2 linked regions of the Oryctolagus cuniculus genome follow. The main gene of each other region encodes a partner of the protein of the gene in region 2 in a complex. Links are inferred from orthologs where the notes say so. Each region holds a gene or a part of one and is shown on either strand. Other genes may lie near its edges.

Region 1 (6,290 bases), on a different chromosome or scaffold from region 2:
CCAAATGCCTAACACACTACTGCTGAGATTGTTATTAGGTAGTTTCATGTTTTCCATTGTTCTATTACACTCAAAGAAGTGAAGCTATAATTTGATGATGCTAAAACCACAGCTTTCATTTTCTTGTGTACTTTTTTAAGTATTCTAAATTTCATGTTGTTTTAAAAATCTTTTAAATACAAAAAGTACATCCTTGTGGTAAAAATAAAAAACAAAACAAAATCAGAACTGTATACAATGAAAAGTATAAAAGCCTTTGCCAATCCTCCTTACCTCATGAAACCTACTTTTCAATAACTACTGTAAACAGTTTGATAAACAAGGGACTTCAAAAGTTGTGGGAAAATGGAATGAAAAGCTGAGTTTACTTTGGTGCAAAATTTTGAAATTCATAAAGCTTTTTCATAATACACATTCTCCATTAACTTTTTGAAGATTTCTTAAAACTGTCATTTAAACTCTTATTTCTCGGGCTTAGAAACATGAAAATCTTACTGCATCTTACACATTTTACTCCATTAAGAAGTTTCCTACTCACTGTCTCATTTTAAATATACAGAAGAATCTGCTACAAAACATAAATTTAATGATTTCACAACAATTCTAAAATGAGAATTCTACAGCTACTATACACAGTACATTTATGCTATTTTCTCATTATTTTCAGAAAAATTCTTGATACATCAGTGTTTTATAGTAGGTAATTATCAGTGGAGGACATGATTTCCAACTCAATTTTCCAAAGATGACTTTTAAATAAAAAGATATTTAGACTACTAACCTAGACATACAGCAACACCCAGAAACTTAATATATTTAAAATATTTTAATACTAAAATCCGAATCAGCTTACATAGTCTTCACTCTCTGATGGAGGGTTACTGTTGTCTGTTGAAGAAGTTCCATCTACTGGTTTCTCAGAAGCAGCATCAGGGAATAAGAACTTAGGGGAGGAAAGAAAACAATTGCATTTTAGATCACATATCCCATTTTTGTTGACAATAAAACCCTATTTGACTTTTCAATGATTTCTGCTATTGAAACTGTGGGAATGTTCTTACTATACCACTCAGTTGGTTCTACATTCTCAAATTTCTTTTATTTTTCTGTGAAAGCACACAAAACTTCAGTGACTTGTCAGTTTCAGAAATAAGACATTTTTTCTTAAAATACCCATGTGGTCTTAACTGTATAAAAGTAAAATATCTTCAGTATTGATTTCATGCCTCTGCAAAGCTAGTAAGTTTTACTGAAATTGTTAATATTATTAAAAACCTAAAACTATAAAAAATCCCTATATGTCCATGATAATCTGTGAAGTCATATCATCCACAGGTTTTCATATATGAAGCACTAAATTATGATAAGAGAAACTTAAACATGAGATACCCTTGGAAAGTGAGAAGCAGCCTAACTCTGTAATGACCACCATATCTTTTCTACATGGTAGGTGTGTTATGTGTCTGTGTATGGGCAGGTAAGGGTGGTAGAAAAATTTCAGGGCATACAACAATAAGCAGTGCAGCTCAATTCACAATAGCTAAGATATGGAATCAACCCAGATGTCTATGAACTGACGACTGGATAAAGAAATTATGGGATATGTGCATCACGGATTACTATACAGCATTAAAAATAAATGAAAACCTGTCATTTGCAACAAAATGGATGCAACTAGGAAACAGACTTAGCGAAATAAGCCAGTCCCAAAAAGACAAATAACCACATGTTCTCCCTGATCTGTGGTAATAACAGAGTACCTAAAAGGTAATCTATAGAAGTGAAATTGATACTTTGAGATGCAATGACTTTGAACAGCCCTTGTCTCAATTATTGAGGAAGAGTTTTTTTTTTTTAAAATATTACTTGTTGAACCCTATACTTAGTGTAGGGTTAATCTCATTGTATAAAGGTAATTAAAAAACAGATCTTAGTGAATGGGAATAGGAGAGGGAGGAGGAGAAAGGTGGGAGTATAGGTGGAAGGGAGTAGGGTGAGAAGAATCACCATGTTCCTAAATTTGTATTTATGAAACGCATGAAGTTTGTATACCTTAAATAAAAGGTTTCTAGGTAATAAACCTAAATAAATAAAAAATAAAAATACATAGGAAGTGTTTTGAGTGACATAAGCAATGTTTATAGCATAGCATTTTGTGAAAACCAAGAAGCAAAATGAATATACATGTTATAATTTTTAATACATAATAAGAAAATACATAGGAAAAAGGATATACACAAAAATGATAATTGTGGGTTTGTTTTTCCATACTTTTTGATTTTTCAAATATAATACATTATATATAACCAGAAATAAGTGTTATAAGAACTCCATAAGGTATACAGTTTGAATAAAATCCAAAGGATATGTAAATAAGAAGGAAACTGCTCTACAGAAATTTTAGTCCTTGGCCAGTGCCATGGCTCACTTGGCTAATCCTACGCCTGTGGCGCCGGCACCCTGGGTTCTAGTCCCGGTTGCTCCTCTTCCAGTCCAGCTCTCTGCTGTGGCCCGGGAAGGCAGTGGAGTGCCTGGGCCCTGCACCTACATGGGAGACCAGGAGGAAGCTCCTGGCTTCGGATCGGCGCAGCGTGCCGGCCATAGTGGCCATTTGGGGGGTGAACCAATGGAAAGGAAGACCTTTCTCTCTCTCTCTCTATCTAACTCTGCTGTCAAAAAAAAAAAAAAAAAAAAAAAAAAAAAATTTCAGTCCTTTCACTATGTGCCTTCCAACTGTTTTATGGTACTACTGACTAGGTATTCCTCTTACTACATATACTTTAGCACATACTACAGAACATGCACAACAGACTTTTAAAAATGAGAACTACTGTGTGCTAAACAACAGTACGAGGCCCATTTACAAACAATATCCTATTCTCATACCATGATGTGAGCTAAATATCACCACCAACATCTCATGATGTACAAACTGAAAATCTAGCTAAGAGTCTTGCTCAAGGACAAGATTAACAAGTTTCTAAGCCCGGTATCCTTTTTTTTTCTTTTTAAAACTTATTTATTTGAAAGCCAGAGTTACAGAGAGAGAAAGGGGGGAGGGGAGAGAGAGAGAGAAAGAAAAATCTTTCACCCATTGGTTCACTCCCCATATGGTTGTCAACTGCCAGAGCTGGGCCAGTCTAAAGCTGGCAGCCAGGAGTTTCTTCTAGATCTCTCCAACATGGGTGCACAAGCTGAAGTACTTGAGCCATTCTCTGCTGCTTTCCCAGGCATTAGCAGGGAGCTGTATCAGAAGTGGAGCAGCAGGGACTTAAACCAGTGCCCATATGGGGTGCCAGCATTACAGGCAGGCAAATTTACCCACTATGTCACAACGCAGGCCCATGGTCTGGTTTTCTTTTCATTACACTACTCGTGAAGATTTTTCCAAGACGGTCTTAACACACAAATTGTGAAATGTATGATTTTAACTATAATTACAATAATAATAGCTAGCATTTATCCAATGTCTCTTATAGTATCACCGAACTTTAATCCTCAAAAGATTACCAAGTTTCATTAGTCTCATTTCATTGATGAGATACTGAAGTGACTTGTTCAAAGTCAGATAGTGAGACAACATTAAGCCCCGGTGTGGGTCAGATTGGCATTCCATCATGACTTACTCAGAAGCTATCCTAATCCTCTACTCAATGCTCATCACTGTAAAACCTTCTCTAGACTGCTGTCAAGGGAACATTTTAAAAATACAACTCTGATCACATTGCTCTTCTGTTTAAAATATATTAAACTCCAAGATAAAGTCTGATGCTTCAGGAGGCAGGCATCTGGCCTAAAAGTTAAGATGCTGCTTGGGACGCATGCATCACATAAGGGAGCCTGGTTTTGAGTCCCAGCTCTACCTCTAATTACAGTTTCCTGATAATGCACACCTTGGGAGGCAGGAGATGACAGCTCAAGCACTGAGTCTATGCCACTCATGGAGGAGGTCCAGATGGAGCTCCAGAGTACTAGGTTTGCCTGGCCAAGTCCTGGCTATTTGAGGAGTGAATCAAATGGAACAGAAGAGAATGGAAGATCTCTCTGTGTCTCCTTCTCCATCCCCCCATTTCCCTCTCAAATACAATAAAACAAAATAAAACAAAACTGGGGGCTGACACTGTGGTGGAGCCAGTTAAATAACTTTCTACAGTGCTGGCATCCCATCTGGGTGCTTGTTCAAGTCCGAGATGCTCTACTTCTGATCCAGCTCCCTGCTAATGCACCTGGGAAAGCAATGGAAGATGGCCCAAGTGATTGGGCCCCTGCACCCATGTGGCAGACCCAGATGAAGCTCCTGGCTCCTGGCTTCTGCCTGGCCCAACCCTGGCCAATAAAGCCATTTGGGGACTGAACCAGTAGATAGAAGATCTCTCTCCTTTCTCTCTCTCTGTAACTCTTTCAAATAAAAATAAATAAATCTTCAAAATAAGTAAAAACAAAAAAAGATACACTGTTTCAGATGGCAGGTTACCCGCTACCTCTTCAGTTTCATCCCTGAACATTCCCAGGGACTCTGTTCTTCCTCTACTTCTAAAGCTTTTACTTCAAGATAAAGCTCAAAGGTGCCTCCTTACAAAGCGTTAGCTGATTCCCATGGCCCAGAGATAGACATATTCTCTGCTGTGTTCTTACAGCTCCTTTGTTAGACTTCTCACTGGCCACATTAAGTTTTAACTACTGTCTACTTCCCTGCTTTCCACTACATCTGTGGGAATTCTCTGACTGTGGAGACTTTGTTTCATTCATCTTACCAGTACATTCTCAATTCACTGCTTGCCATAAAGAAGGGACTAAATATATAATGAATAAATGCTCATATATAGAGACATAGAAAGAAAGGACACTTAGTTACCAAGAGAATGGTATTGAGGACATCATTATTCAGTGGTGATTCTTCTACACCTCTGTGTTTTCGTATTTTCTTCTTTGCAGTGTGTACCATATTTGAAACTGATAATTTATGAATTGGAACAGGTGCTGGCTCTGTCAACTTTGACAAAGCATGAGTTATATCAGCAATTTCTATAAAAATAAGACATAAATATGAATGATATCAACAACCATAGCAACCTTTATAAAATATCTTAAAATGCTGAGTAAATTGATGATTGTATATTCTTTTTATTAGTTTTCGATGGACTCAGAATTATAAAATTTTAGTAACTACATTAAGCTTTATATAGAAGCATGAAATGACAAAGGTATCACAAAAGGTATTTTTTTCCACAGGACATCAAAAATAAACCATCAAGACTCTACTTTTCAAAATATCCTACATTTTTGATGCAAAAACAAAAACAAAAAAACTTCATAAATGCACTTAATGTCTTAACAAGCTCTGGATATAAACCTGGAAACAAATAGTACCTGTCTAGTCCATCAAAACTTAGATGAAAATTTGCTGGAAAAATGTGCTAAAGAAAAAGGGTAACATATTTGAAAATAACATTTAAAAAAAAAAATACGTCACCTCTTCCTTCTTCCTCAAATGTGGATCGTCCAAGGATCTCATCAGTTGACTCCTTTCGACGGCAAATTTTAAAAAACTCAGTAACAAAATCACCTACATAGAAAAGCCATTATTCATTTATGACACTAAACTGAAAGCAATCAGTCCTATAAATTAAAGCATATGTCTTTCCACAAAAGCTATTAACTAACATATGGTAGAAAAGTTAAGCCATTTAGTTTTTCCAAAGGTAGCTTTGTTCCTTCTTTTTTTATTAAAAATAATTCCTTAGATTTCCTTCTATAATAAAAGGAAAATAACTATATCTAATGATATCAAACATTTAAACAAACTGTAAAGAGACAAATACTGTCTATTATCATTAAGTTGCATATCTTAATAGAATATTACTGCATGAAGAGAAGTCATGTCTCCATCTGTCCCTCTAAGACTAGCATTTGAATCGATTAAAAAAATTAAAAATCGGCCGGTGCTGCTGCTCACTAGGCTAATCCTCTGCCTGTGGCGCCGGCACCCCAAGTTCTAGTCTCGGTTGGGGCGCCGGATTCTGTTCCGGTTGCTCCTCTTCCAGTCCAGCTCTCTGCTGTGGCCCGAGAGGGCAGTGGAGGATGGCCCAAGTGCTTGGGCCCTGCGCCCGCATGGGAGACCAGGAAGAAGCACCTGGCTCCTGGTTTCAGATCAGCGCAGCGCGCCAGCTGCAAAGCGCTGGCCATAGCAGCCCCTTGGGGGTGAACCAACAGAAAAAGGAAGACCTTTCTCTCTGTCTCTATCTCTGTCTAACTCTGCCTGTAAAAAAAGAAAAATCCATTAAAACATT
Region 2 (6,290 bases):
ACAAGGCCGGCGCCGCGGCTCACTAGGCTAATCCTCCACCTAGCGGCGCCGGCACACCGGGTTCTAGTCCCGGTCGGGGCGCCGGATTCTGTCCCGGTTGCCCCTCTTCCAGGCCAGCCCTCTGCTGTGGCCAGGGAGTGCAGTGGAGGATGGCCCAGGTGCTTGGGCCCTGCACCCCATGGGAGACCAGGAAAAGCACCTGGCTCCTGGCTCCTGCCATCGGATCAGCGCGGTGCGCCGGCCGCAGCGCGCCGACCGCGGCGGCCATTGGAGGGTGAACCAACGGCAAAGGAAGACCTTTCTCTCTGTCTCTCTCTCTCACTGTCCACTCTGCCTGTCCAAAAAAAAAATAAATAAATAAAATGACAGAACAATATGCTTTATTATTTTTACTAAAGGATGCCTACCAAGATTGGGAGATTTCGTTTTCAATAAGGCTGACAGTTTCTTCACTAAATGCATATCCTTGGCTCGTTCACTCTTCTTATCACTAAAACAATAAATACAACAAAATCTTACAGAATGTCAAAATGCTTTCCTCCTACTTATGGCTCATTCCCCCTTTCTTTTTATTTCCTATTTAATTTTAAACATAGCAGTCTGAAGACTAAAGCAGCAAGAACAACAAAATAAAGGCGGCATAAGTCCTAAGAGAAGAGGAAGAGTGAGCAGAGGAACATCAGTCAGCAGACACTCAATAAGCCTTACCTCAGTGCCAAATGGAAAGGAACATTCACCGTTTTCACACTTCCAGACACAGGGTCCACAAGACAGATCTGGTAAGTCTGTGGCTGCCAACTCTGACTGATAACATTATTCAAGCCCATTATTTTATAGCCAGGATACAGTAACCTAAGGAAATCACACACCAATGTGGCAAAACATTAGCAAAAGGAGAAATATCAAAAGGTGCTTTTAGTATAGTTAGAGAACCCTACAGATTTACAAGTTTAGAGAACTCTACAATATTACCAATTCAGGAGCTTTAATGAGGTAAGTAAATGCTGACACCAAAACATAAGCAAAGCAGGACTCAACTGGCAGAGTAAAAGATTCTACAAAATTAAATGAACACAATCAGGCCCATATTTGATGGCAAACAAAACATTCACCTCACTTAACATCATCACTAGGAGAATCTGAAGGAAGTTTTCCTTTTCAGTCTAGACAGCATAAGCAGCACCAAGCTGACTTAAATTCAACAGCAAAATGATGGCATTTTGCAATAGCATTTCTTTATTACTAAGTACTTCATCCTTAATTATGTACCAGGCACTCACAGGAAAAGCCATAATAAAGGACATTACAATTCCCACACAGCTTGCAGCCTAATGAGTAGCTTTAACAAAAGCTTTATTTTAATAAAAGCATTCCTGTATTTCTTTTTGTAGCCTGCAAAATGCCAGGGTTTGCAGCTTACCTGCAGTGCTTTCCCACGTTGAAAGCTCCTACTCTAGGTCCCTGCTGTGTGCTCCACACCTCTAGAATTCCCCTTCGTGGGGCATAAATCACGAGGAACTGAGCTACTCGACTTGGACCCTGAGTATTTCCAAAGGGGGAAAAGTCCACCTTTTCTGGTACCCTTTCGTGGAGATCTTCTACAATTTGAATCCATCCAATTTGTGCATCACGGTAGCCTTGGATACAGAGGACAGGGAAAGTTAATTAGTTTATTAATCAACGTTCAGCAGCAGCCTCCAGAAGCATTTTGGAATATCTACAGGAGAGTGGTAGAGTATTATCTTTTTACTTTAAAATATCTTAGACAAGATAACAATAAATATAATAAACATTCAATCTGTCACCAAGCCTTATCAAATCTTAGTATTTTGCTTTATTTGTTTCAGATCACTTTTTTTCTTTAAAAAGAAAATAGTGTAGCTATAACTGAAGCCTCTTGAGTGTTCCTGCCTGCTCTCATCTCCATCTCTCCCTCTCTTTAAAAGATTCCCTCCTTTAAAAAAATTCTGGGGGCCGGCACTGTGGTGTAGGGGGTAAAGCCACCGCCTGCAGTGCTGGCATCCCTTATGGGTGCTGGTTCCAAGTCCAGGCTGCTCCACTTCCAATCCAGCTCTCTGCTGTAGCCTGGGAAAGCAGCAGAAGATGGCTCAAAGTGCTCGGGCCCCTGCACCCATGTTGGAAACTTGGAAGAAGCATCTGGCTTCGGATCAGCCCAGCTCTAGCCATTGTGGCCATTTGAGGAGTGACCTAGAGGATGGAAGACTTCTCTGTCTCTGTCTCTCTCTCTGCCTCTGCAACTCTGCCTTTCAAATAAATAAATTAAATCTTAAAAAAAATATTCTGGGGAGATTATGTTTGGCTTTAAGATAAAAGCCCATTTAAAATTTAAAAACAAAAACAAGTTGATTTTCTGCTATTCAAGCCCCTTGGCAGTAGACAGAGGGAAAACATGGGCTGCATGGTGACATGAGGAATTCCCTGTGTGAATGAAGAAGCAGCAGCTAACACTATCTTCAGTTTTAGGGCACCCCCTCTCCTAGGCAATTGATGCTACCCTCCCAAGCACACAATGTAAAAGAAAACTGCACCAACTGCAGAAAGACAGGTAACAATGCCAGCAACAAGATTACCAAAGCAAATTTGGGCAAATTGGTACAGCTGTATTTTCTCACCTTCGATTATGTTGCAGAGACAAACACCAAGAAATGATGGATGTACAGCACTGAAACTTGCTTCTACAGATACTTCAACAAGTAGCAGATAAAACAAGTGCCTGTCACTGTACAGATTCTTTGGCAAGAACATGATAGGGACCTCAATCTGGTCCAGAGTGATTTAATATTCTCAAATCTATTATTCTTTACACCATAAAGATTGTACATTAATTATGGTTTCCAACACATTGCTATTCCAGATGATTTTAAACAATGTAGTCTCCCATCTTCTTAAGTCTGGACATTTTATTTTACTCAGGTTTACAATGTACCCAGTTCAAAGGCACTTTCAAGTCTCTCATAACTAAGTCCTGGCTAATGTACTGCATGTAGATAAAGACTGGAAGGACTTTGGGCAGTGTCTTCAAAGTAGACTCGACTGGCAGGAGTATCTTCTCTTCTCTTCTCTTCTTGGAAAGCAGAGAAGGTGGCTGGCCTGAGACCCTGCGTAGGGCAGCTATGTGGAAGCAGACTGGGTTCCTTAGGATGCTGTGGTGACATCACGTCAAACCAATAACTGAGTCTGCTGCTAGCAGCTGAATGAAACTCCTGCTTGACATAGTTACTGATAAACCAAGTGGACTGATCCAAGCACTAGGATGTGACATTTGGCACAAGCATGGCCTTGTGAAGGGTAATGAGTATAGCTGGGGCAAGAAATTGAATTGAGAAATTGATGACAGTGAGAATTTAAAGACTTAAAGCATATAAGACAGAGGTTAAAAGTGCCTATGAGGTGTTCAAACTTATAAAATGATTAATACTGGATCAAGTGTTGCCAATCTGAGTTCATTTTGACACGAAAAGAAAAACCTGAAGGGTTAAACAGCATTCTTAGCTAGAGGCTGAAGAATGATAACATTGCTTAATGTTAAGAGAAAAAAGTGAATAAATGTTTTCTATAGATTTTTGTAAAGAAGTACCTTTCCACATGCGTATTGCAATCCCTCTAGATACATCCAATAAAATAACTCTCCCAAAATCATCAGTTACTGCTGCCAGTGTGTTACATGGAGACAGACATATGCTTTCACCATGCCGTCTAGAATCTGGAAGTCCAAATCTGGTATTTAAAAGAAAAAAAAAAAGCTCAAATCACATTCCAATCTATAAATACATAAAATAATGAAATGAAAAAATAAAATAGGTGACAACTATCTTTACCTAAAGAAATATGAACGTTGCCTAGCTTACCAATTCATTTACTGGTTAATCACACCTAATATTTGCAATCTAAAATACATAAAAGAAATGAAATTAAAATACCATCCTATGTTGGTTTCTATACAGATTCCACAGCCTTTTATTTCTAGGGAATAGAACTGTAACTATCTTTTCCTAAGAAACATGTCATACACAACAAGACCCTCACAGCCAATTCAATTTTAGAATACTTTGCCTCTACACAGACACCTTTTGTCTATTTTAAGTTCTTGTTTCAACTTAGTTCACTTTTATATTAGATATCATAAATTGCTGACACCAGTGTATCTTCTTTTTTTTTTTTTAAAGACTTATTTATTTATTTGAAAGAGTTACAGGGAGAGAGGAGAAACAGAAAGAGAGAAAGAGAAATCTTCTATCCATTGGTTAACTCCCCAAATGGCTGGTCTGAAGCCAGGAGCCAGGAACTTCTTCTGGGCATCCCATGTGTGTGCAGGGGCCCAAGCACTTAGGCCATCCTTTGCTGCTTTTCCCAGGAGCATTAGCAGGGAACTGGATGGGAAGCAGGAACATGGGACTCGAACTGGCATCCATATGGAATATCAGCACTACAAATGGTAGCTTAAACTGCTGTGCCACAGTGCCAGCAGTGTGAGCATTTGGAAAGTGGACCAGCAGATTAGAGTTCTCTCTCTCTCACTGAGCATAGGAGTTCTCTCTCTTCATCTAACTCTCCCTAAATTTCTCAAATAAAAATAATAACTAAATAGTTATCTCTAAAGCCTACTGGTTTATCATCAACCTTGTTAGAACTGTGAGTAAAATAAAAAGAACCAGGAACACTCACTTGAGAGAAGTCCCTAAGAAACATGTTCAAGCTATTTTTTTTTTAAGGAAAAGAGTTTATTGGGGGCAACCCGGCAGACTGGAGGGAAGGGGCGAAGAAGGAAAAGAGGGAGAAGAAGAGTGTAAAAGAGAGACACAGAGACGGAAAGGAAGAGACAGACAGAGAGAGAGGAGAGGAGAGAGAGCAAGAGAGAGAAGGTGTTCAAGCTATTATAACTATTGGGTCCTGTGGCTAATTTCTTGATTCTTGGGTGAACTGAGGACATGTGATATGTTACAACATAGTATTTTAAAATAAGATGAAGAAATCCTTAGAAGATAACATTGAGTAAATTTTAATAGCAGTTAATTAGTTGGGTCCCTTTAGGCAAAGAACATCTAAAGGGGAGGGGCTATATTGTCTTTCATGGTGGTATTTTGTATTTGGTGCTTTGTAAAATGTTTTAAAAACAAAATCAAGGGGGCTGGTACTGTGGCATAGTGGGTAAAACCAATGCCTATGATGTTGGCATCCCATAAGGGTGCTAGTTTGTGTCTTGGCTGCTCCATTTCCAATCCAGCTTCCTGCTAATAGCCTGGAGAAAGCAGCAGAAGCTAGCCCAAGTGTTTGGGCTCCTACTACCCTTTGGGAGACTGGATGAAGCTCCTGCCTTTGGCTTGGCCCAGGGCTAGCTGATGTAGCCATTTGAGAATGAACCAGTGGATGGAAGATCTCTTTGTCTCTCCCTCTCTCTGTAACTCTGATTTTCAAAATAAATAAATATAATCTTTTTAAAAAAATCTTCATCTCATGGAGTTTACCTTCCAATTGGGTAAAAATCCCACATTAATGACCATCAAAAGTTCCACAACCTCATGAGATCAGCAAGTTAACTAATAAGCACACTGAAAGACCATGAATTTCAAAGCACTAAAATTTGAGAAGCACAACAGACTTGCCTTACAGCTAATGGAGTAGCTGGTTCAACCTTCGGCTTTTGCTTCTGGACAGCTTCTTCTTCATGCTTACTTTTCCAACCAAGCCAACCACTGAAAAGAAAGGACATTTACAACAAAAGTAGAAGAGCTTCCAGAGTGTGAAGTGCAGACTCTCAAAATATAAGTTAAAACTAAGCTAGATACAAATTAGAGACTTTTAAATTTAATTTTTATGTAATTACCTGGCAGCATTAAATAAAGCAGAAGTGAGTTTACTTGCAACTGCTAGTGCAACATGAGATAATAATGGTTGTGTGCTTCCCTGAAAAGCAGAGCATTTGAAAGAGAAGAATTAATAGCTTACAAAGAAACAATAAACAATGCCAACATTAAAATGTCTTGAAAAGTTGTAAAGGTTGAACTAGTAGTATTTCAGCTTCTTTCAGAGGGCACACTAAAACTTCATTTTAAGTGCAATAAAAGAAAAAGTTTTAATGATAGTTATAAAATCACTAGTAGTCTATTTTACCTTCACGGTTTCCTTATTTTAATTGTAACTTAATTAAAATAAACCCTAAACCAGGGCAGTAAGACAGCATTGTTGTAGCTGGGCTAAGGATTTCTCATCTACTCATAACTGGTCCTCTCTCCAACCCCTGCTGCACATCCCCCACCCTGCCTGCCCTG

The links.
Region 1: the proteins of RAB3GAP2 (region 2) and RAB3GAP1 are in contact, whole or in part, in a cryo-EM structure (PDB 8VYB), measured with the Homo sapiens proteins. The link is inferred for Oryctolagus cuniculus from reciprocal best matches to the Homo sapiens genes RAB3GAP2 and RAB3GAP1. Residues at the interface, in NP_036546.2 of Homo sapiens: Arg197, His198, Pro199, Gly200, Ser276, Pro277, Phe278, Asp279, Met281, Lys282, Ser285, Asn286, Ile287, Gly289, Phe290, Asn291, Ala292, Ile294, Arg377, Phe378, Gly379, Leu380, Pro381, Asp382, Arg385, Cys395, Thr397, Leu398, Arg407, Arg415; in NP_036365.1 of Homo sapiens: Thr19, Ser21, Trp23, Glu24, Glu142, Ser143, Asn146, Leu147, Leu149, Ser150, Ser153, Ile154, Ile169, His170, Trp173, Arg174, Met176, Arg187, Asp189, Glu191, Met192, Val193, His194, Leu195, Arg196, Pro199, Tyr202, Ile211, Ser214, Lys215.

Annotation. Positions count from the first base shown.
Region 1 is NC_091434.1:108,473,054-108,479,343, forward strand, and holds part of RAB3GAP1 (rab3 GTPase-activating protein catalytic subunit), read right to left. Parts: intron 5,567-6,290; coding exon 5,474-5,566; intron 5,026-5,473; coding exon 4,856-5,025; intron 944-4,855; coding exon 854-943; intron 1-853. UniProt on the Homo sapiens protein: Catalytic subunit of the Rab3 GTPase-activating (Rab3GAP) complex composed of RAB3GAP1 and RAB3GAP2, which has GTPase-activating protein (GAP) activity towards various Rab3 subfamily members (RAB3A, RAB3B, RAB3C and RAB3D), RAB5A and RAB43, and guanine nucleotide exchange factor (GEF) activity towards RAB18.
Region 2 is NC_091444.1:34,576,847-34,583,136, forward strand, and holds part of RAB3GAP2 (rab3 GTPase-activating protein non-catalytic subunit), read right to left. Parts: intron 5,926-6,290; coding exon 5,846-5,925; intron 5,715-5,845; coding exon 5,625-5,714; intron 3,739-5,624; coding exon 3,599-3,738; intron 1,638-3,598; coding exon 1,421-1,637; intron 853-1,420; coding exon 709-852; intron 491-708; coding exon 408-490; intron 1-407. UniProt on the Homo sapiens protein: Regulatory subunit of the Rab3 GTPase-activating (Rab3GAP) complex composed of RAB3GAP1 and RAB3GAP2, which has GTPase-activating protein (GAP) activity towards various Rab3 subfamily members (RAB3A, RAB3B, RAB3C and RAB3D), RAB5A and RAB43, and guanine nucleotide exchange factor (GEF) activity towards RAB18.